Linked DNA regions of Arabidopsis thaliana. The protein of the gene in region 1 interacts with the protein of each later gene in a pairwise test. Each region holds a gene or a part of one and is shown in the gene's direction. Other genes may lie near its edges.

Region 1 (8,265 bases):
TGTCACTATAAATGGTCTGTTGCCAATACCAAAGATCATTCCCAAAACACTAAAGTTTCATTTCCCTTACATTTCGACACTCGACAATTGTTATAAGCAAAAGGCAAACAAGGTACCAACAAGAATATTGATGACTTTGTAACACATTTTTTAAAAACCACACTCAAGCACTTGGTGTGTAACACATTTTTTTTACCTTCCAGTAAAAAAAATTTATACCTTACAAATAAACTTTTGTCTCTTGGTTTGTTTTACAAATTACTTACAACTGTTAACAAAGTTACATAACAACACTCCGTTATAATTGATATTTTTTTATTCCATTCATTTGCTTTTCGTCTAAACTTTTCTTTGAATCTTCTCACTTGGCACTTGGATATTCTCATACCAAAAATGCTTTTCGCTTTAGAATATTTTTTCCCTAAACAAGGCAGAAAAGGAACAGGTTTGACCTCCGTTGAAGTGTTGAAGAACACTTTTGCCATCCATAACAATGCTTCAGAAACGGTTTGGTGTTTGTGTACAATATTAGTTGCATTGTCTCGATTCTTTTAACAAGACTTTTTTTTTCCACTAAGACTTGGAACAAACATCCAGTACTTCAATCGAATGAGTTTTAACAGAAACATAATGATGGATTTAGAAAGAAGCAGCATCATGAGATTAACTATTTCGCAATGTGTGGAATGGTTTCCTTTGAAACTAATGCTGTCCATAATCATGATTTAAATTAAACCCACACGATTCGTATATATTATTTAATTTTAAACCTTAGTTACTTATTGCCAAATATCTACTTTTATTTTTCTCACCAAATATTCTTACTTGTTGTTTGTCGCTTACCAATCAAATAATAAAAAAATATTACCAAGCATACGCATGCCAACATAAACTTAAAATTACAGCTGAAAGTGAAGAGACAAGAATGATGAGTTTGGTTTGGAAATAATAAGTAATATTCTTTGGAACAAGTATGGGGTTGGGACAAGAGCCCAAAGAGAGAGAAGAGTGTGTCACTGTGTCGTCTCTAAAACTACAAATAAAAATTGTCAAAGAAGAGAGAGTTTGGTTTTTTGGTGGGAGCTATAGAGGTCCACAAAAGCTTTTCACGCGTGCTAAAGGAGCAACCAAACCAACGGTCACGATCAAGGCCGCATTAAACGGAAACCATTTGTGATTGTTTCATCCAACGGCTCACACTTTCCCTTGTTTGACTCTCTTCTGTCCATCCCCTCACGCGTGCTCCCTCTTCTTGTTTTTTTTTTTCCATTTAATTTCCACTATTTATTATTTTATCATAACATCTATTTTATTTTTATGTTTTAAAAAACTTTTCATTCAAGAAAATCCACTTACATAGTGATATACATGGGTTAAACACTGTAATCATAGTGTGTTCCATCTTTACAGAAATGGATAACATATTTTCTACATACAGTAATTCTTTTTTCCTAAAGAGAAGTTGTTTGAGTTTTTACTATCCACTTACATAGTGATATACATGAGTTTTTTAATAGACCTAATCTAAAGCATGACACCGGTCAAATAGAGTGATTTAGTAAATTTTACTAGATACAGTAAAAACTCTATAAATTAATAATGGTGAGCCATAAAATTTTATTAATTTATAGTGATATTAATTTATCCTCTAAATTAATATATATTAATTTACCGTATAAGTTAATAAATATTAATTTATAGAAATATTTACGTAAAGTACGATACTATATTCTTTTAAAAATATTTCTTAATGTAATTTTCTATATGCTTTGTTGTTTGCATATATAATTATGTTAGGTTTTTATTTTAATTTGACTTCTTTAATTTATTTTCGGTAAGATTTGTATTTGTATATCTACGACATTAACGTGAACGTAAACGTAAACATGAAAGTTAATCCAGTTTCTCTTTACACAAATCATAGTAATGCTTTCTCAAATAAAAGATTTTATAAAATCAACTATGACGGATCAAATACGCAAATAGTTATGTGAGTACAACAGAGATCATATCAGTTGTATTTTAAAAAGAGTTGTAATTATAGCTTGAACAAAAATTTCATATAAAAATTAGTCTTAAAATATATATTTAAGATCTATAATTATTAATTTATAATATTATTGGGACTATAATTTTACATAGGAATTTTAAAAAAATGATTATCTTATTATTTTATTGATTTTGGTTAATTTTTATATTGGCACAACTTGGAACCTACAAAATTTATTAATTTACCGTGTTTATTAATTTATCGAGTATTAATTTATAGAGTTTCTACTGTAATAGTAATATCCACTTTTATAGTTAGATAGTGAAATAGTTAAAGAATTACTTATGCCGAAAGAAACAGATTAAAGAAACTGAACATTATGAAAAGATTAAGAAACAAATATTTTGTTTGAGAAAAAGTTAAGAAACAATATAGGTATCACGACACTCTTATACTTTGTTGGATTTAAATAACACTACTAATAAAAATGTGTCATCTTTCTACTCCAAGATTTTTTTTTATCTAATCTAACAAGTAAAAAGACATATTTTGTCCAAGCTTTTTACCTTTTTATCTTGGATGAATCAAATTAATAGGAGTGCATTTTTTTTTTTTGAAAATTCCAAAAATTTGCGGTAAAGTTAAACATCTTTTTGCTCCACATTTGAAAAAACAAAACAAGTAGATTCACGCACGAAAAGCGTGAAACGAAATTATTAACTTTAAACAATGTTTGTTTGTGTAGTGACTAGTGTAGTGTGTGTGAGTGAGTGATTAAAGAAATGAAAATGGGCAAACCAAACGAAAAAAAACAAACCGCACCAGAAAAAGAAAGCCACGCTCGCTCGCTCTCTTCTCCTTATTTCTCTACCCTTCCCTTCTCTCTCTCTTTTTGCCACACACATCATTCTCTCTTTAGATCTTCTTCTTCTTCTCCTCTGTAACAACAAAACAAAAAAATCACTCTTTCGAATTTGATCAGATTCTTCTAAAGCTTTAGTTTTTACGCATCACCGATTCATTTGATCCAAAGGGTTTTTGATTTCTTCTACGGTATGAATGTTTTCTGCTTCTTTCTTTCTTTATACCGCCGCAATTTCTGACTTATTAGGACTTATATGTTTTTTCTTTGTCTTGTAATTAGTACTTTGACGGTATCTCATAAATAGCTATTTTATGGTTTATCAGATGATTGCTGAATTTGATTTTTCTATTGAATGTTCTGTCTTGTTTATGTTTGTTTGTGTTATTATTAATAAACTATTCATGATCGCGTAAAGATTCTTTCTTTTAACAAGTCCAATTCTTTTGTTGAGGTTTTGTTTCCTCTATGTGTTCTGTTTTGAAGCAGAGTTGTTAAGTTATTTTGATTTTGGTTTGTGATCATGAAATCGAAAAACATTTATTCTGGATCCGATGTTAATGTCTTTAGTCATGATCCTATCTTTTTGTTTGTTGTACGCAGATGCCTAAAGTTGTGCTTTTTTATTATCTGAATCAGGAATTAGAAATTTCCCATTTTTTTGTTTCTCTGTTTTGTTTTGCCAGTAGTTATTTTAGGATTCTACCTCGAAGTTAGTGCCTTTCAACTTCCTATACTGAAAATATATTAGTATTTGAATAGCGTTGGTCCTAATTTTTGTTTGTTTGTGCAGAGTTTGTGAGAAGAGGAACGGTATTTAATACACTTACAAATTTGATATTGGAAGAACCAAAGATGCCCTGGACAGCATTCTTCATGTTTTTCAACAGAACTTGCACTCGTCTGGTTGTCTTTTTCCTCGTTATTCTGTAATTTTGTTCCTTTCAGGTGAGCCAGCCTCTCATTTCACATCTTGTGTTTTTGTCTTACATTGGTACCTTGTGGAAGCAAATTTTGTTGTTGCCACCTTATATACAGCTTCTTGTGTTAAAACTATTGGCATCTCTTCCTTGTTTTGCAGGTGTTGTTTCCGGAATTCGGAATAGTTCTTTGTTGTTGTGCTTATTATACTGGTTAGTTTGTGAGAATGTGCATTGTTGGAAACAAGAAGGGAAACCGATCATTGAAGGAAATAGGAACTTTTATGATGACTACATGTTTCATTGCTAATTACCAATCCGTTCAAGTTTGCCAGGTACATGCCTCTCTTTGATTTAGTATTTCCTAACACTTCTATCGCTTAGGCAACACTGATTTATGTCATTAAAAGAACTCTATCCTCTTGATGACATGTGGATAGCTATTTGTTAGAGTATTAACCATAGTTTTTCTGATATTCAACCTTTCTTATAAATCATTGCAGGCTGAATATTTCAGACAGTTGCTTAAGCCTGTAACGTAGTCTAGCGTCTGGAGTTTTCGGAAATTGGGGTTTTGAGCGGCTATCTACTTTTGATTTCGAAAAAATTTACTGTGAGTTGTTAAAGAGTCTGGTATTCTGAAGAGCTGTCTGTGGGGGAGCTTCTGGTTTGGGGGGTAAGGGCTCTGGTGGAAACTCGTGATATCTTTAGTATGATGGCCATAACTTGATATAGCATTTGGTTCCGTGTGTCAACTTAGTGTAGTAGTAACTGAGCAGCTGGAAGCTTACAAAGGCGACAAATCGGTAGTAGAAAATATTCAAGCAGCTTGCAGTTTGAGGTGTACAACTTGTTTTTCTCTTTGCGTTTCCTTTTTTACGTTTGCACGGGTTTTCTGATGCAGAACAATCAGTTTCCTCACTTCTCAGATGAAGTGGGTGACAGAAATATGCACAACCCGTATGCATCAGGGTCATCCTATGATGCTTTGTTCCCACCATGTGCAAAGTTGCCATACCATGGTGTTGAACTTCAACCGTCTGCGGTCTGTCCAAAGAACTTTGTCATCTTCGATCAAACATATGACCGCAGCCAAGTGATGTACCATCCTGAGCTGACTCATAAGCTCATGAATACCCCTTCGTTGAACAATTTAGCTTCGACGTTTCAGAACGAGTATGTTGGGGGAAGTTATGGTAACTATGGTAACTATGAGCAAGAAGTATCCTCTTCTTATCAAGAAGATCCAAATGAGATCGATGCTCTCTTGAGCGCAGATGAAGATTATGAAGAGAATGATGATAATGAAGGTGAAGAGGATGGTGGTGATTCAGAAGAAGTCAGCACTGCTCGTACTTCTTCCAGGGATTATGGAAACACCACAGCAGAATCTTGTTGTTCCAGTTATGGTTACAACAACAACAACAACAACAACTCAAGGAAGCAGAGTTTATCGGGCAGTGCTAGTAGTAGTAACAATGATGGGAAAGGACGTAAAAAGATGAAGAAGATGATGGGAGTATTGAGGAGAATTGTCCCTGGAGGAGAACAGATGAATACAGCTTGCGTTCTTGATGAAGCTGTTCAGTATCTCAAGTCACTTAAAATCGAAGCTCAGAAACTTGGCGTTGGACATTTCTCAAACCAATCTTGAATGCTACCGATATTCGGTTCTTCCATCACTATTGTTTCTCGGGAGGTAAATCATCGGTCTAGCGCTATCTGGACCTTTCTCTTTATTTTCCTCCCTCTATACTCACTTCCTTTTGTTGGCAGGATGGTATCTATTTTATGTTTGAATCTCTCTATGTATTTTGCTTTTTGTGTGTTACTGCTTCGATGAAGAAGCAAGGTTTGAACAAGTACTTGTGGATTTGATTTGAGATTTTAATTTGTATGGTTTTACTTTCACTGTAATCATTTGACTATGAACTACAATTATCATTATGTATTTGCTTCTACATAGTTTTAAACATTTGGTCTTCCTTCTACTGAACAATGTAAGGGCCATCATTTTGAAAAGTCACGCTTATACCATAAAACGGGTCCTATACGTAACCAAAATTCAATTTCTGATGGAAATTAACTGGGTTATTAAATAACCGGGTTTATAAATTGGGTTATGATTACATTTTATTTTACACAGTATAGCTCAACGATTCGTCTCAAAGCTTCACACTTTCGTGAAATCTGCAGACTTTGTGTAGTTCTCAAATCTCGATTCGTTGGATTCAGTTGAAGAAATAGGCAATGGCGACTCCGTCGTCGTCTTTCTGGAACACAGCTTCACGAGAAGCCATGAAAAGCGGCGTGTTACTCGCGAAACTCTACTGCTTTCTTCATGTAACAACAAACTATCTCGGATTCATGGCTTATGTGAGTCAATCGAAATCTCTCTTCTTTTTTGGTGTAAATCGAATTCGTTATTGAAAATTTACCATAAAGATGTAGTCTTTTTGAGCAGGCTTATGGTCCGAGCATGACTCCGACGCTTCATCCTTCGGGAAATGTGTTATTAGCGGAGAGAATCTCGAAGCGGTATCAGAAACCGAGTCGTGGAGATATAGTTGTGATACGATCTCCAGAAAACCCTAATAAGACTCCAATTAAAAGAGTTATTGGTATTGAAGGTGATTGTATAAGCTTTGTGATTGATTCAAGGAAGAGTGATGAATCTCAAACCATTGTGGTATGTTTTGTTACTTAACCTTCTTCCTTGTTGACTTCACTTCACTTTGGTTTTGCTTATGGATGAGATTTTTGAATGTTGTACTTAGAGAACTGAGTTTGAAGAAGGTAGATACATTGTTGAGAAATTGAGTGATCAGAGTTGAAACAAGTTGTTAATTAGTATTGAGCTCGATTTAGCTGATTGCAATTCATGGAAAATTTTGAATCTTTTAGCAACGTTAGTGTTATTGGTGTATATTACAATTTCCTTTGGATTGTTTAGTTTGTTGGATTAATGGCGAATTGATCTTTCGATGTTTTTTTGGTTTTAGGTTCCTAAAGGACATGTCTTTGTTCAAGGTGACTATACTCATAACTCACGAGACTCAAGAAACTTTGGTACTGTACCTTACGGTCTTATTCAAGGCAGAGTGCTTTGGAGGGTATAAACTTTTTGTCATTAACTTACAAATATAGTTAGATTATCTGATTTCGGAACTTCAAATGTGTTATTTGCATTTGTTTTGGTAAATCTATTTGGCTAATCTTCGGTATGTATAATAATGTGTAGGTTTGGCCATTTCAAGATTTTGGACCGCTTGGACCAACCCCAACTTAGCATACGAGTTAGCTTGGTCATTAGGCCAATGAGATGACCGAGGCAGATTGGTAGTATGGTTAATCGTTGTTGCCGAGTGAGTCTGGCTCATGACTGACTATGAGATGCAGGATCATCATACCATTCACGAAGATGGGAGAATCTAAACGCTCAGGAAAAGTGAGTATATGGTTTAGACTTGAGAGCACGTAACATTATGTATTTTTGGTCTGACGCTGTATGTGAGAGTCGCCTCTGTATCAAAAAGTTAAAACAAACATCGAATGTTTTGTGTGAAGCCAAGATTATTCATGGGAAAATCTTATAACCATTTAAAAATACTACTTGATCAATAGCATTTCCCCACATTTTAAAGATTGCTCTATTTTCACTTAAATCAATCATGGTGATACCAATTGGTGGTAACGTCAAGTTTGTCAAGCCAAACTGTAGGGATTTTCTTAATTGTGTGTCAAATAATTTTTAAAACAATCATTGTGATTTATTTTCTGTTTTCCCACATATTTGATAGTTATTTAAAATCGTAGTTTCGACTATCACAATTTTTACCAATTGGTTATAAAAATTTATATAGTCAAAGTCCTTACAAAAAAAGTTTTTCCAGTCAAAGTCTCTACATCCAACATTAACAATTGTTATCAATCAACCATAACTATGCGGATAATCAATATTACCAACCTTCCAAACATTAATCTAAGAATTGACTAACTTTTATGCAATTTAAATTACTACCATTTTTCCATCTATATAAACCCTATCTTGCACCCACAAAAAAAACATATTCCTTGGCTAAAGCCAAAAACAGCAAACAAATACTTAGTTTAAATTTCTCTTATTTTTTTATAGCCAATAAACTCATAATTTTGTTTTTCTCCAAAATGAAACCCAAGAAAACCAAAGGAAAACAAAGGATTAACATCAAGAAAATTGAAAAAGACGAAGACAGATTGGTCACATTGTCTAAGCGTCGAAATGGTATCTACACTAAACTCAGTGAGCTTTCCATTCTCTGTGGTGCTGAAGTTGCGTTTCTCGGGTATTCTTGCTCTGGAAAACCATACACATTCGGCAGTCCGTCCTTCCAAGCCGTGGCAGAGCGGTTTCTCAACGGCGAGGCCTCGTCGTCTTCTTCATCATCGTTGCAACGATCGGTCATGAATGCTCATCAGCAAGCGAAGATTCAAGAGCTTTGCAAAGTATACAA
Region 2 (8,223 bases), on another chromosome or scaffold:
GTTGTGTTCTGGACTGACAAACGAAGAGGGAAAGTGACAACACACATTGCTTGCTTCATTCATCCTTGATGCTTTGAAAGGTAAGGAAAACAAGTAAGCTTTTTGTCAAGAATTTCTTGCTGGGGTCTAAGGTAAAGACCTAAACGGCTATGTAGAGTTTTTTTTGTGTAGTCATAGTAGCTAGGTATTCTCACTTACCTGTAATGAGTATTCTGCAGAATCTAGAAGATACAGAAGCTATCCAAGAGGTGATTCGTGCACGTTATCTGGCTTTTATACGCTCCAGTTGCGCAGTGAAGGTTCCATTGTCTGTTCATAAAAGCTTGTTTAAGACATTAATGATGGAACTGTTTAGCCGTTTAGGCTCTAAACATGATATCTACATAATCATTTTTTCTGTAATTGTGATGAAGAAGGTTCGTTGTATCTATATTGCTCTGTCTTCTTGACCATGTATCTTTCAAAAATGCGAAGGAAATTTTGATAGCTACAAGTCTGGGCTTGAATTTGATGAATCCGAAGTAAAAAATAGTTTTGGGCTAGATTCTGCTTCTTAATTCGGTCTGGTACAGTATTATATTATCCACCTTTGAGAAAGAATAAATAATGGGCCTAAATTTCATCGAATTGGGTTTTGGATTATTGTTAGGCCCAGATAGGGTTTAGATCAAACAGCATGATAATTGATAAATAACAAAATATATAGGCAAAAGCTACTCCGAGATTCGAAGCTGCAAAGAACGCGAAACAGTGAGAGAGACAGAGAGAAGATATAGAGATGGGTGTGGAGAAGCAAGTCATCAGACCCGGCAACGGTCCCAAACCCGCTCCGGGCCAAACCGTCACCGTCCATTGCACCGGATTCGGTAACTTTCCTCTGCATATTTATATCTTTGAAAATTCCATGATAGGCTAAATCGATCTATACAAATCTGCTTTGTTGAAGAGCTATTTGATGTGTTGTGGTAGTCGTACTCGCTATTTGTTTGTTTTCTATGATGTGAAATAGATTTAATTAGGGTTTATGTTCTATTCTGGGTGGTGATAGTAACACTTAGGTCATAATTAATCTGTAATTTTGCTGTTCTGCGAGATTATTTGTCTGCTCATCTGAAACTTCATACGAATAGATCTCTTGTTTAGATTTTCTATTTGTAGGTTTAATTAAAGAATCTTGTTTATCTTATAATCCAGTTTCTTGTGTGGAATTGAAATGAATTTGTTTGAGAATCTTATTTCTCTTGTGTGTGTGTTTTTTTTGGCAGGGAAAGATGGTGATCTATCCCAGAAGTTCTGGAGGTAAATAATTCTTTATTGTAAGCTTTGATTCTAGGATCAATAAAAAGATAATTACACTTACTTGTTCTTATCATCTACGCATACTCAGTTTATAAATCAATATGTTTCGTCTTAAAAGACTTATTTAATTTGGTATTTCCTTGAGCCTAACTGTGTTTTGTTCTTTGGTATATCATTATAGTACAAAGGACGAGGGACAAAAACCTTTCTCGTTCCAAATCGGTAAAGGTGCTGTGATCAAAGGTATAAACTTACTTACTCTGTTTTATGGTTAATCATATCATATCTCTGAACCTATTTGCCTCTTTTTTGGCGAGTGAACATCATATGATTCGATTGTTTAACTTTGCTTACAGGATGGGATGAAGGCGTTATCGGAATGCAAATTGGAGAGGTTGCTCGCTTGCGGGTATGTATACTCTGCTTCTCTCATCATGTTCCTCTTTGCCATCTATGCTTTTATGGCTCTCTGTTGAAGCACTTTTGTCTTTCATGATAGTTTGGGTGTTTCGTTATATGTTTAACATCTTTGGCTTGCGATCTTATCTGCTTCTGCAGTGCTCATCGGATTACGCATATGGCGCTGGTGGATTTCCGGCATGGGGGATCCAGCCAAACTCTGTTCTCGACTTTGAAATCGAAGTACTGAGCGTGCAGTAATGATCTCCCCAGCTCCTAAACTGTGGGTAGATTATTAAACAACCCTTTATGTTTATTGCTTCTGGGATCTTTATGCAACAAAACTTTGTGATGTCATTGCTCTTCTAAAACTCTTGGACAACGTTTTTATCTAAATAAAAGAAAAGACCCGTCTCGTGTTTCAGTTGGAATGTTTGTACTATATTATGATATTATTCCCGTTTTTTTATTTTGATTAAAATGGTTTTGTTTATTCAATCAAAATGCCAATAAAAAGCACAAAAGAATCAAACTAAAACTTCAATCTTAATGACATATCAGACCCAAAGCAAATGGTCTCAACCATAATGAAATTTGAATTGACCACTTCTAATTCAAAACACAGTATAAATTACTGTTCTTAATATCAAATCAAAGGAAGAAAAAAGACTAAAGTTAAAAACTTTTTCAGACAAGATACATAAGTTAACAAAAGAAAGGAAGAAAAAAGAGAGAGACGCGAGAGAAGTCGTGCGGGTAATTAAGCACTTAAAATTCCCGTGCAATTCTTTAATCATCACTTATGCTTCTTTTTTCTTTTTCTTTTCTCCATTTTCATTTTCATTCTTTTTACTTTTCTTTTTCTTTTCACCCACATTCCCCAATCACATAAGTCCTTTTATGAATAATAACTTTTAACATAAATGAAAGTCTACATAATATTTTTAAAAATAAAACAAAAGTATTGAGCTAATTTTGGCGTTGTATAAGCTAGATAGATGCTAAATTGTCAATTTAAATTAAACAATTAAAAAGAGTGGTTAGCTTTTATTCTTTTCCGTCACAATGGGTGTTTGAAACACACACAACACCGCACCTGAACAAATGTACTATTAAAATATAATTAAGGATGAAAAAAAGCTTGAGCACACTTTCACTAACTTAGCTTTCAATAAAATTAAAGAGGGATTATAACCTGAAATAGTATTTATTTAGAAAATAATTAAGGATATAATAAAGCTCGACCACACTTTCACTAACTTAGCTTTTAAAATAAATAAGAGAAAACGTATGAACTTTTACTTTAACGAATTAAGTATATATTAAAAAATTATATTGGTTAGAAAAATATTATTTAATGATAAAGTATAACCTGAAATTATGGACCGTGAGACTTTGTCATCATATATACCATAATTACGTATATACACGTTCGGCCCCCTTGTCCCATTTCTTTCAAGCAAAGCACAAATATAAACATTGCCACCGTTTTTAATTACTAGATTAATTTCCAAGTTACACATATTTTTCCTCTAAATAATTAAAAATTCAAATTGTACAACTTAAATTATGTTACCTTTTGCGTATCTTAGTTTTTTTCTTTTAAAAAAATATAGAATGAAAATTAATTTCGATATATAGAACAAACAAAAAACCGAAAAAATTGAGAATGTGAATTGGTAAAATAAAGTAATGAAAAGGGCAAAAGCGTCATAAAATCTTTTTATAAAGCCTTGTTACTCTTGTTGCCACTCACCTCTTTAGAAATATTTCGTAAAAAAAAATTCTCCGTTTAGACATTATTGTTCGTTGGTCACTTTCATCTCTCTTATCCCTTTGCTTTTCCATTGATTCAGCTCAAAAAAAAACAAAAAAGTCTCATCGTTTTCTCTGGATCTGACCGAAAGATCATTCCTTTCTAAGGTAATCAAAATCCAATTTTTCTCTCTTATAGTCTGTGTCACTGTTCTCTCTGTTTGTGTATCTGGAGACTGTGGTTAAAAACGGTTTGAGTCGTTTGTGAAATGGTAAAGTTCTGTAATTTATGTCTGAATCTAGCTTAGAACATTGTGATTTGTGTATATTCTGAGTTGTAATAGTAAAATGTAGCGTAATTTTGCTGGAATTGATGCTGTGAATACACCCACTTGCTAGACGTTTATAAATCTATGTCCTTTACTGTTTTTGATCTCTGGATTTAGCTCATTTTTGGTGCTGATGAGATTCTTCCTTCGACTTTTTGCACAGATACTAAAGTAGGTTTGAGTGATCAGAATCAATTAGAGTGTGTATAAGAGGAAGAGAAAGAGAAAACAGCATGTGTATTGCCGTATACCGTAAAGTTTTGAGCTTGAATCTGTATTGCCGTGTGATACTGTAGATTGTTTCACCTTTGAAGCAACACCTTCAAGAGTCAAATCCTTTTCTTTCTTATTCATCTTCCCTTCTTTTTCGGTATATTATAAACACTTTTGAAAATGGGATCACAACATTTCTATGTGTACCATTGTGAACAAAGAATCAGCTAGACTAAAAGCTCACTCTCCTTCCACAAACAAAACTTTCCTCCTTTTGGTTTTGGTATCTGTCTACTTTCTTCAATCAAGATTTCCTCAAAGTTATGGTGTGCCAATCACCTGGTAAGACAAGATTTCGAGGATTGAAGTACGAGACCGGAAACGCTAACGAATCAACAATTGTAGTGAGAGTTATTGAATGCTATCAACCGATGGATAATTGCCAGGTTTGTACCAGACAATAATGCTCTTGTTATCATACTTTTAGCTTATATAGTTCTAGTCTTCTAACACTGTGGTTTTGTGATTATTCTTTGTGTTTCAGGCTGAGTACTTCAGACTTCTACTCAAACCAGTCACGTAGTTGGTTGGTGACATTTCGCTGCATTTTTCAATCTGTGATTGTTTTTCGTTCGTCTTTCTTTTACTATTTTCTCGAAAAGGACACAAGAAGTATTGCATTCACTCAGTTGAGCAACTTAACAATCGGTATGCTCTTTTCCCTCTAATTACGCTTGTGATATTACTGACTTTATCTTTCTTGAGCTGATTTTTGCCTCTGTTTTGTCCTGCAGTGTTGTACTTTTTGAAGTTCCCTTGAGCTAAACTGCTAAGAGCATGCCTCTGGATAAGAGGCAACGGGATTTGCCTCTGGGCTTAAGTCCTCAAGCTTGCTTCAAGGATATAGTAGGTCGGTCTGTCCTTCCTAGAATTCCTCTCCCTGAGCTTGGGAAACTATATGCAGCTAAGCTTCAGGCTCGCTGTTTGCAGCCACCACCATTCCAGTCTTTGCTGTGCAGTCATGATAAGGAGTCTTATGGAAAAAGATTCTCACGGTCTGACATGCGGTCTTGGTGCGCTGCTGCTACTACTACTACTACTCCACTTGGAGCATTAGAGTCTTCTCAGAAAAGACTTTTGATATTCGATCAGTCAGGAGACCAGACTCGTCTATTACAATGTCCATTTCCTCTACGGTTTCCATCTCATGCGGCTGCAGAACCAGTGAAACTCTCTGAGTTACAAGGTATAGAGAAAGCTTTCAAAGAAGATGGTGAAGAGTTTCACAAGAGTGATGGAACAGAGTCAGAAATGCATGAAGACACTGAGGAGATCAATGCATTGCTATATTCAGATGATGATTATGATGATGATTGCGAGAGTGATGATGAAGTAATGAGCACTGGTCACTCTCCTTATCCAAATGAAGGAGTTTGCAACAAAAGGGAATTAGAAGAAATCGATGGTCCTTGTAAAAGGCAGAAACTACTGGATAAGGTCAACAACATCAGCGACTTATCATCACTTGTGGGCACTGAGAGCTCCACACAACTCAATGGATCTTCCTTTCTTAAGGACAAAAAGCTCCCTGAATCAAAAACCATATCGACCAAAGAGGACACTGGTTCTGGTCTGAGCAACGAGCAGTCGAAGAAAGACAAGATCCGCACAGCTCTGAAAATACTCGAGAGCGTAGTCCCTGGTGCAAAAGGAAACGAAGCGCTCTTACTTCTGGACGAAGCAATTGATTACCTAAAGTTGCTGAAACGAGACTTAATCTCCACAGAGGTTAAGAACCAAAGCTCCACCACTCACAAGTCACCAATCTTGTTGCTTAAAGAGACAACATGGGGAACAAGAAATCTGCAGACAGATAAGGCGTGAAAGATTCTGACGAGTTAAAACGTGTGAAGTGGGTTTTTGGGTACGTATCCTCTGCACCAGCTTTTTAGCTGTATATAGTGGACTACTTTTAAGTATTATATATGCTACTGCAAATTTCAAAAAGTTAAAGAAGAAAAGAGGTCACTTTCTTCTTCTCTCTGTGTGGAATGAAAAGCCAAAGTCGTCATGGTCATTGATGGACAATGATTATCTTTTTTGGCTGAGTGTGGATGGTGAAATCAAAAGGCAAATATTCAAAGTCTCATCTCAAGCTCGCGTGATCTATGAATCTCCCCTAAGGTAATAAAATATCTCTGACCCACACACACTCTTTTGTCCATATGATGACTAGATGGGTCCATGATTTTTATGAAATATTGATGTCATGTTCATGTAATTAATTTGAGTGTCTGTAATAATGCAAACTATTCCTTTGTCTTTTGCTTCAACCCACATGCTACTGGTATTGTTGTGTCTCTATTGTTGTATTGTTAAATGGTTTTGTAATAAACAAATGGCGTTTTTTGGTTTGTGATAAAAATCGAATCGTTTATGTCACTTATTCCATATTAGAAACCAATAAACATTACAAATTAGGAACAAACAAAAGCTTTTTCTTTTCAAAGAATCAAAATCAAGAAGATACAAAACCATCACTATCACTTCATGAAATTGAGTTCCTCCATCGTCTTGGTTTCCTGGGGGGTGGATGATCAACACCAGCTTGTTCTCCTCCAGAGGATATGTCATGGCTCTCCTGTCCACTCATCTTAGTCAGTTTACTTAGCTTCTTCCAACCGCTGGTCCAAGCCGAAGAAGATGGCGTGTTCTTCACTTTCCCCGTCTTCTCAAACTGTCGTTGCATCACTTCCATCTCGTTCTGAAGCTCGACGTACTTGGTCTTCACCGTCTCTAACTCGAACTTCAACGTGTTAATATCCTTCTTGGCTGCAGCCCATCCTTCCTGCATTCAAAGTAGAGGAATTAGAAAAAAGGAATTTGTGTGAATTTTGATGAGTGTTTTCTCTTACTTGCCTGAAACGATTGTGGTGTTGCTTCGATCAATGTCTTGCGATTTGGGATCATAGGCTGATACGTACCCATGGCTTCTCCTAAAGTGGTTGACTCCTTGAGTGATGTGTTGGCTAAAGCATTGCTGATCTTGACTTGCTCCGAGAAGAGAACTTGAACCACCACTCTCAATGGCAACCTCTCGTTCTGAGCCGCGTGCATACATGCGTCCATTGATAGTTTTTGACAATCCATCACTCGGCATAGCCGTTTCCTCTCATGCTCCGATAATGTCGGATGCGCCTATCACAACAAAATTAAGCCAAAAAAATGTTGAAAACTATTCTACGAATTTACCAAAAAGACCTTCAATATATATATACCTTGAGATATGAATCAATGGCTCTGTATAGTCCATCGTCACAAGTCCTAGCAGATTCCGGTAACGCCTCAGCCAAAACCTGAAACTTTGTCAACGGCAAATTCCGATCTCTAGCAACTTCGGTGAGATAACTATCCACAAGCCTCGCCACTCTCATTTTCGCATTCTGATTATTACCACCACCACCACCACCATTGTTGTTATTCCCTCTCGGGATATCGGCGTACATAGACTGCGACGGCGACGGCGACATTCGACTCGGACTCGATCCTTCCGTCTGTTCTTGCACAAGAAAATGTTCCAACAATCTCTGAACAAGATCAACATCGTACATTGTCTCTCCTTTATTGTTATAACCAGGAATCAAAAGATCTTGAAGCGTCGCTTGTTCGAATTGCATCCCTACGCGTTTCTCGAGCTCCGTGATCAACGCCGGAGCTACTTTGAGCATGTTTGCTGCTCTAAGAAGACGGAGGAGGAAGCTACAAGTGACGGAATCTTTCTGTGGAGGGATTATGCTGATTAAAGATTCGACGATCATTCGTTGGTCTTTTGGACTGATTCCTAGTCCGGCGAGACAAGCGACGGAATCTTGATGTCCGTTTGTTTTTCCGGCGGAGAGAACCATATGAAGACCGCCTTTCCAATCTGGTCCGGAGCTTCCTCCGCTGCTGTTGCTTCCGCAGCTTATACTCATTTCGTCTCCTCCTAAACCTAATCCTCCTCCAATGGCGGAGGACATTGCTGGAGCTATTGCAACTCCTCCTTCTTTGATCAAACCCGGAAGCCATTTTCCGGCGTAATGCATTATTACAGCTCCGAGTAGTTCAAATCTCATACCTTTCACCTGTTTCAATGGATAGAGGATTGAGATATGTACACCAAGTGTTTGTGAAAATGCTTGAGAGAAAAATAACCTATGTGTAGTAGTACCTTGATTGCAGTGATTAC
Region 3 (8,709 bases), on another chromosome or scaffold:
CATTCCAACTTGTTCAATTTCATTTCTTCTTCTCCAAACATTTTATTACAAAAGATCTATTATCTCCCAAACTCTTCTTTTCTTTCAATTCCCATTCCTCAAAACATTCTCTCCTTACAATAAAATCCTCCGGTAATCGTTTCAATGGGCTTCAAACCATTTCTTGAAGGTGGCATCGCCGCAATCATCGCCGGAGCTCTGACTCACCCATTAGACCTCATCAAAGTCCGTATGCAGCTTCAAGGCGAACATTCTTTCTCGCTCGACCAAAACCCTAACCCTAATCTTAGCCTTGATCATAATCTTCCCGTGAAACCTTACCGACCCGTTTTCGCTCTTGACTCTCTCATCGGCAGCATTTCCTTATTACCCTTACACATTCACGCGCCGTCTTCTTCCACGCGCTCCGTCATGACCCCTTTCGCCGTAGGGGCACACATTGTCAAAACCGAAGGACCCGCCGCTCTCTTCTCCGGCGTCTCCGCCACCATCCTCCGTCAGATGCTTTACTCTGCCACCCGTATGGGTATATACGACTTTCTTAAACGAAGGTGGACTGATCAACTCACCGGTAATAATACTAAACTCGATCGGCAACAATATTACTCAAAAAATAATTTTGGTTTTTATTCGGTTTGGTTTGGTTTGATTACACTAAAAGTCGTTTACAGTTCTCGGTTATTGGTTTTAAATAAGAAAACCAATGGATTTATAAACAAATGCTGGTTCGGTTTCGATCTTAAACAGTTTCGGTTTGTTTGGTTCGAATTTTTTCCATATTATTACACAAAAGATCAAATAAATTAAACGTAAACGATAATTCCAAACAGGTAACTTCCCATTGGTAACCAAGATCACAGCTGGACTCATCGCAGGAGCCGTTGGATCAGTCGTCGGGAATCCTGCTGACGTGGCGATGGTGAGAATGCAAGCCGACGGAAGCTTGCCGTTAAACCGTCGCAGAAACTACAAGAGCGTCGTGGACGCGATCGACAGGATCGCAAGGCAAGAAGGCGTTTCAAGTTTATGGCGTGGCTCATGGCTAACCGTGAACCGTGCCATGATCGTGACAGCTTCTCAGCTCGCTACGTATGATCACGTCAAAGAAATCTTGGTAGCTGGTGGCCGTGGAACGCCGGGAGGGATAGGAACGCATGTAGCGGCGAGTTTTGCGGCGGGGATCGTCGCGGCGGTGGCGTCGAATCCCATCGACGTTGTGAAGACGAGGATGATGAATGCGGATAAGGAGATTTACGGTGGACCGTTGGATTGTGCGGTGAAGATGGTGGCAGAGGAAGGACCAATGGCTTTGTACAAAGGGCTTGTTCCGACGGCGACGAGGCAAGGACCGTTCACGATGATCTTGTTCCTTACCTTGGAACAAGTTCGTGGTCTGTTAAAAGACGTTAAATTTTGATTAATTTTTTTCAAGTAGTTAGGTTAATAAATGTTTGAGATTCCCATATTTCTTCATACATTTCATATACGTTTAAAATATTTTGAAAATAATTATATAGCGATTAAGGTAATATTTACTAGAGATTTTTGTATAAAAATAAATTATTTATTTGCACAAATATTTTTTTTAGTAAATGCGAAAACTGATAGTGATTGAAGCAAAGGGACTTTTTCGGACGGTCCAAGTCTCTTGGACTTGGGGGATATACTTTTGCTGGGGACCTTCATTTGGTATATTCCTTTTTTTCTTTGGGTACTATGTTCTATTTTCTTGGTTGACAGAAAATATGAAATATCGCTTCTAAATTACAATTTCTTTTGTTTGTTTGTAAAAATCTAAATTAGAAATTATGCAAAAAATTATAAGAAAATAAGATTAACAATAATGTTTTTCTTTTATTGACTTTGATCATATTATCTCTATAAAAGAGAAATAAAATCTTTCTAAAGTTTTTTTACTTGAGTTTGAAGCTGGTGGCAATTTGGTGTTTGTTTTATGAGATTGTATAAGAGTTATCCAAAGCTGAGACATGGCCCAAAATAAGTCCAAGGCCATGTTTAGGCTCCATTTTGCATGGCCACTCCACTCATCTAACCAAAGCCCAGTCTCAATTATGTGAACTGAAATTTCTATGTTTTGTTTTTTCACACTGAAATTTCTATCTAACTGTCTTTCTTTTAACATGTTTCAATGATTTGCTTCCGAATAGAACACATAATAATTGTTTCCTAAAATTTTAAGAATTTTGAAGTACATAGTAGGCATTTGGGTCCACTGATCTCACACGGCAACGACTATTCTCAAATCTCATATCACATCAAAATAAAGAAAAAAGATTCAACGAGAAATTAAAATCTTTAGAAAAAATGTTCCAAAAAGAAAAAGAAGTCATCAAGGCAATTAAGCACTTAATTCCCTGTGCATTTTTTTAATCATTCACTTGCGTCTCTTTCTCTTTTTCTTTTTTTTTCTTCTTTCACCAAACTTGCTTACCTCTTTATTCGTTTTCTTTTCTTTCTCCTATGATCATGGAATTTGGTGGATGCTCCAACGTTTTTCACCTCAATCACTTATTAAAATATCATGTACAATAGTTCGTAATTATATATGAAAAAACGAGTGGGCTAAATTGGTGTTTTATAAGCCACGTCAAAAATATTGTATTATTTAGCTAGCTACTAAACTAGTCAAATATGTTACAATGTATATAGTTCAATTTGTATCGCGTCATCGTAAAGACATAAATGTTCCAAATCATCCCACCCACACACCTAAAAAGAAAGGTTAATACTTTAAAAATAATGATTATAGAAACCACCAAAATGGTTAAAAACTCACTTCCACTATTTGGCTCATAATTATAAAGAAAAAACGTTGCCCCCCCCCCCAAAAAAAAAAAAAAAGTTAAAAAGAAGACGAACATATAATGGCTTTACTTTAACGAACTACTAAGAAATTCTCACGTTTATGATATTACATAATTATTAATTTATGGCTTGAAATTATGGATCGCGAGGGTTTGCCATTATACATCATAATTACATATATTCTACGTTCCACCTCCTCTACTCCTCGTCCCATTGCAACCATCCAAACTAATAAAAATATTTAGATTATTTCTACCATTCAATTCAAAATTATATGCATTTTAAATTATACTATATGTATTTTCTAAAATAAATTTAAATTGAACTGAATTAAATAAATTTAATTTTTCTTTATAAAAAATATGTGTTAGAAATATGAATTGAAACTCATACTAAAGTGTATTTTAGTTTTAATTTCTACTAAAAAGAATAGTAAAAAATCAAAATAATAAGACTATATCCAATGTTCAATTCTATTTTTTCTTCTATTTTAAAATTGACTCTATTTTAAAGGTATTTTATTTCATTGTATGACTCTAAAATAAAGTTTTCTCTAAAATAGAAAACAAATATAGAGTAAGTTGTCTTTTGTTCTATTTATAGAGTAATCTCTACATTTTTCTTCTATTTTAGTAGTAACTCTATTCTAAAATATATAATAGAGTAAAATTAATTATATTTCTTCTTAAATTGAGTTAATATTAAAATAGAAGAAAATAAAGTTGGGCAATGGAGATGGTGTTATGTTTTGCTCAAATGAGTTTTTAGAGTTGATGTTCCAGCTTGGTTATCTAAATTTTGGAAGAGAAAGAAAAATGAAAAAAAAAAAAAAAAAATCTGAAATAAACTTGGTTGATGTGAACTGTTTTTTTCTTTTTCTTTTTCTTTTCCTGGTCTCCATTATTGACGGTAAATAAAGTGGTGGAAAAGGGTAAAATCGTCACAAGAAATAAGAAGATGTATAAAGCAATGTCACACACTTCAGTCTTCACGCCCACTTTTAGTGAATTTGCTAAAAATATATTTTCGAAATAATATTCCGCTTTCTCGTTTCTTATCCGTTCAAGCTTTCGTGAATTCGTCTCATAAACCTCTCCACTCTCTCTGGATCTCCACGCATAGATCTTCCTCTGTTTTCCTCCATGTACGCTTCTTGGATTCACTTAACCATTGTTTGTCGCTGTGCTCTCTCTGTTTTTTTATTCCTCGAAAAAGTTGAATTATCAGCGAATTTGATGCAAATGTGTTTAAATCGTTACCAAAACGGATAAATTCTTCTATTTTCGTAGCTTGGCTTGCAAAATCCAAGCTTTTAGTTCTTGATTTTGCTAAAATAAATTATACTTGTTCAATGCTGCAGAACATGTACTTATCTTCTTCTGCTGTTTATGGTTTCTCTATCCTTTCAATTGTTGTGAATGTTTGGTTTCTTTGGTTTGTTATTACTGGAATTTGATGAGATGATTCTCTGTTTTGTAACAGAATTCTTCTCTCTTTCTCTGGATCACAACAAAGCAGTGAATGAGAAAAACAGCATGAGTTGGTTCACAAGGTCTGTTGATGTGTACCGTAAAGTTGTGAGCTTGAATCTGTATTGCCGAGTTATTCTGTAAACTTTTTCTCTGCCTTGAAAAACCCCATCTTCAATCTTCTTCTAAATCCTCAGCCTTTTCTAAACTCTTTAATAATGGGATCCCAACGTTTCTACGTTTTCCACTGTGACCAGTATAGGATCATCTAAACCCTTAAAGCTTCTCTTTTTCTTCTTCAAGTCATCTGTCTTTTGGTGACTTACTCTGTTCTGTGGAGAAACACTAGTTTTACATTCGAGAGTTTGGAAAAGTTATTATTATGGTAAGTCAATCAGCTGGTCAAACAAGATTTCGAACATTCAAGTACGAGAACAACGGAGACTCTAGCAGACCAACAATTGTAGTGAGAGTTATTGCTTGCTTCCAACCGATGGATAATTGTCAGGTTTGTTGCAGCAAAAATGATATTATACTCTTTTTTTTGTCACATTTCATCTCATAGTCCTGTGTTTCTTATCTAACACTTTTGTCTCTGTTCCACTTGCAGGCTGAATACTTTAGACATATACTCAAACCAGTGACGTAGTTGGTTTGTGAGCTTGTGTTTGTATTTTTGGAGCTGGCACCTTTTTTCTTTTTGTCTCTACTTTCTTATACGATTGTTTCAAGAAAGAATCAACAAGTGTTGCGTTCCACACATTTGAGCAACAGCTTCCACAATCGGTATGCTAACTGAATCTTTGACTCTTTATGGATTATTGCTTTCTTGAGTTGGGCTACTAGTAGTTGTCTCATTCATAGCCATGTCCAATGATTAGTCCCTTTCCTTTTTCGTGCAGTATTGTATTCCTGTAAAGTTCCCTTGGCTTAAACTGCAAGAGCATGCCTCTTGATACCAAACAGCAGAAATGGTTGCCATTAGGCTTAAATCCTCAAGCTTGTGTCCAGGACAAGGCGACTGAGTATTTCCGTCCTGGAATTCCTTTTCCGGAACTCGGTAAAGTTTATGCAGCTGAGCATCAGTTTCGCTATTTGCAGCCACCGTTCCAAGCCTTATTGTCTAGATATGATCAGCAGTCTTGTGGAAAACAAGTTTCATGTTTGAATGGGCGATCTAGCAACGGTGCTGCTCCAGAGGGGGCACTCAAGTCTTCTCGGAAAAGATTTATAGTATTCGATCAGTCGGGAGAGCAGACTCGTTTGTTACAATGTGGATTTCCTCTGCGGTTTCCTTCTTCTATGGATGCAGAGCGAGGGAACATTCTCGGTGCCCTACACCCAGAGAAAGGGTTTAGTAAAGATCATGCCATTCAAGAAAAGATATTGCAACATGAAGATCATGAAAATGGCGAAGAAGACTCGGAAATGCACGAAGACACTGAGGAAATCAACGCGTTACTGTATTCTGATGATGACGATAATGATGATTGGGAAAGTGATGATGAAGTAATGAGCACTGGTCACTCTCCATTCACAGTTGAACAACAAGCGTGCAACATAACAACAGAAGAGCTGGATGAAACTGAAAGCACTGTTGATGGTCCACTTCTTAAAAGACAGAAACTACTGGACCATTCGTACAGAGACTCATCACCATCCCTTGTGGGCACCACTAAAGTCAAAGGCTTATCAGATGAAAACCTTCCTGAATCAAACATTTCAAGCAAACAAGAAACGGGTTCTGGTTTGAGCGACGAGCAGTCAAGAAAAGACAAGATTCACACCGCTCTGAGAATCCTGGAGAGTGTAGTTCCAGGGGCAAAGGGAAAAGAAGCTCTTTTACTACTAGACGAAGCCATTGATTACCTCAAGTTGCTGAAGCAAAGCTTAAACTCATCAAAGGGTTTGAATAACCATTGGTGAAAAACCTACAACCCCTTTTGTCCTATTGATAAGGCATGTTTGGTTGGTTAAAGAGAAGACATGGGACAAAAGATAATCAATGAGGTAAAGGACTGATGAAGAAGATTCTCTCAAATTCATTAACGTGGGTTTGAAACAATTAGAACACGCCTGGTGACCCTAGTGGGACCGTATCCACTGTTCATCTAGCTGGATCAATAGTGGTTTACTTTTGGATTTGGCATGCTCTCTCAAAAAAGAACCAAAAAAAAGTCACTTTCTTCTGTGCTTGGAGTGGAAGAAAAGTGAAAGAAGGGAAAAAAGCAAAGTCTTGGTGCTCATTGATCGTTAATAATTATCTTTACTCGTGAGTAATAATAATATCTCTGTGAAGGTCTGGTGGTGGTGGGTGTGGATGAAGAAAAATCAAAAAGGCAAATATTGAAATTTTTGGAGTGGTTGTGACTTGTGGAAATTGAAATCTTCCCACTTTCATTAGGTGAAAATCTATGTCCCCACTCTCTCTTGTCTCATTATTACTCTTCTGTTGCTATCAATCCCATAACTTGTCATCTTTTTTGTTTTTTCTAATCTCTCTGGCTCTTAAGCTCTTCAAAGGCCTTGTAGTTTTGTACTATTGTAATGTTATTTGCTTCTGTTGTTTCTCTCATGGGTCTAAACATGTTTGTGTATCATGTTCATGTAATAAACTCGAGTGTTAATAATGGAACCTTCTTTGGCTTCTTACATGCTAGGATTTTGCTCTAACCTTTCAAACTATCATTTTTTCTATACCAAAAACAAATTTTGTAGACTTATTATTAAACAACAACCATACAAGAAAAACCTCCACAATCTATTTTTTGTTGTAAAATTTGGACTTTTTGAAATTTGACGTTACATATGAAATGTTATGGACCTTGCCTAAGGAAACACATCTTCCGACTATGCAGCAAAATCTTCTGGTGAGGAAATCTATGTGTCTCATGACCTCCCACGTAAAGAACAAAAAGATATTTAAGAATCACAGTGAAGAGAAGAAACCTCTATTTTATTCATCCACCATGATTAATGAGCTTGATCTGATTCTTCTTGCTAAGAGCATAAAATTTTCACCAACTTATTTCTCCATCTTAAGATGATCCTTCATTCTCCAAGCTGCATTTGTTATGCACCAAGATCAAGTGAAAGCCGCTGGCTATTCCCTCTAAACCAACATCTCGAAAAGCATTCAAGATCCTCAAGCAAGCAGAAGCATCAAACTCTGTCGTTTTAGACTCTTTCCACTGATGGATAATCTCCTCGGCTTCTCTCAAATGACCAAGCATTAGATAAGATGAAAGAACACAAATGTAGCTTCTACTACTCAATATCTGGTTGGTGTTTCTCAAAGACTTCCAAATCTGATCTATCATAACCTTGTTCCCTAGACCAGTGTGCAGAATCATAAGGAAGTCATATGTGATCCATTCTCTTTGCGAAATAGATTTCTCAGCTTCGACAGGCAAAGTAGACTCTGCATTAGTTACTCTACTACTGTTTATGTAGATGCTAGTAAGATCGATATACCGAACCCAACCCTCATTGGAACTAGCATCATGCCTCATCTCTTCAAGAATCTTTCTAAGCTCATCTATATTAAAGGTTGCAGCACATGAACTTAGCCACAAATTATAAGTAAAAATATCCGGAGAAACCTTTTTCTGCTTTAACACTTCAATAACCTCAGGTACTTTCTCAACTTGCCCAACTGACATGTATAAAGTCATCATCTCGTTGTATGTGATGGCACCAAAAGTGAGACTATCACTCTCAATGATTCTCTTGAACAAGGCCTCGGCTCGTTCGGTTTGTTTGGAGGCAGCATAAGCATGAAGGAGAGAAGTATAGGTTTCAGCTGTCTTTGAATCTATATCCAGACCTTCAAAGTAGCGTTCAGCTGCATCGATCCCGAAAACTTTTGAAATCAGATCTATGCGTGAGGCGTAATCAGCATCTGAGATCTTTGATTCTTCATGCTGTACCATCCACTCTGTAACCTGTTAATAATACTTGAATTAGCTCCCAGAAGAATGCAGTTTTGTGCAGCAACACATAACAAATCATAAATTGTGCAATCAATCTAGAAACTAGGAGCTACGAAGAAAAACCAATGAAAAAGGAAATGATCGATGTTAGTACCTCAAGAGCGTGCTTGTAACGGCGAGTTCTCCTAAGCTCTTTGGAGATCTCTCGGAGTTCATTGATAGTCATTTGATTCCCTTCTCCAATCCATTTCTCGAGAACAGTAGTCGCGCTACGTTTCGGAAGTCTCAATCTGAAAATCCTGCTCTTCAGATCGTCTTTCTCCTCCGATTCCTCGACAAGGGAGTTTCCGATTGCTGCGTCAGCATTGTACGACTTGGAGAATCGTGACGATTCGGCGTTTCGAATGAAATTGCTTCCGAGAACACCATTATTCGTCAATCGACTAAATTCATAAGAAGCAGTGTGAATCAATTATCTCAGG

What was found.
Region 2: the proteins of AT1G29950 (region 1) and SAC51 interact in a two-hybrid assay, tested with the Arabidopsis thaliana proteins (one large-scale study listed by BioGRID).
Region 3: the proteins of AT1G29950 (region 1) and AT5G09460 interact in a two-hybrid assay, tested with the Arabidopsis thaliana proteins (one large-scale study listed by BioGRID).

The regions. Positions count from the first base shown.
Region 1 is NC_003070.9:10,488,791-10,497,055, forward strand, and holds AT1G29950 (basic helix-loop-helix (bHLH) DNA-binding superfamily protein), read left to right. Parts: upstream 1-2,907; 5' UTR 2,908-3,043; intron 3,044-3,184; exon of another isoform or gene 3,185-3,564; intron 3,565-3,645; 5' UTR 3,646-4,107; intron 4,108-4,275; 5' UTR 4,276-4,670; coding exon 4,671-5,426; 3' UTR 5,427-5,808; downstream 5,809-8,265. Other genes in the region: AT1G29960 (Peptidase S24/S26A/S26B/S26C family protein), read left to right, coding at 6,023-6,148, 6,237-6,461, 6,775-6,885, 7,014-7,061; AGL64 (AGAMOUS-like 64), read left to right, coding at 7,940-8,265.
Region 2 is NC_003076.8:25,728,546-25,736,768, reverse strand, and holds SAC51 (transcription factor SAC51), read left to right. Parts: upstream 1-3,455; 5' UTR 3,456-3,621; intron 3,622-3,945; 5' UTR 3,946-4,441; intron 4,442-4,539; 5' UTR 4,540-4,703; intron 4,704-4,789; 5' UTR 4,790-4,832; coding exon 4,833-5,879; 3' UTR 5,880-6,434; downstream 6,435-8,223. Other genes in the region: FKBP12 (FK506-binding protein 12), read left to right, coding at 779-866, 1,266-1,299, 1,481-1,542, 1,656-1,708, 1,858-1,959; Phototropic-responsive NPH3 family protein, read right to left, coding at 6,544-6,843, 6,915-7,193, 7,274-8,119, 8,206-8,223.
Region 3 is NC_003076.8:2,941,949-2,950,657, reverse strand, and holds AT5G09460 (transcription factor bHLH143), read left to right. Parts: upstream 1-3,818; 5' UTR 3,819-3,970; intron 3,971-4,308; 5' UTR 4,309-4,803; intron 4,804-4,905; 5' UTR 4,906-5,081; intron 5,082-5,197; 5' UTR 5,198-5,240; coding exon 5,241-6,221; 3' UTR 6,222-6,920; downstream 6,921-8,709. Other genes in the region: DIC3 (dicarboxylate carrier 3), read left to right, coding at 145-571, 831-1,417; AT5G09450 (Tetratricopeptide repeat (TPR)-like superfamily protein), read right to left, coding at 7,334-8,239, 8,382-8,670.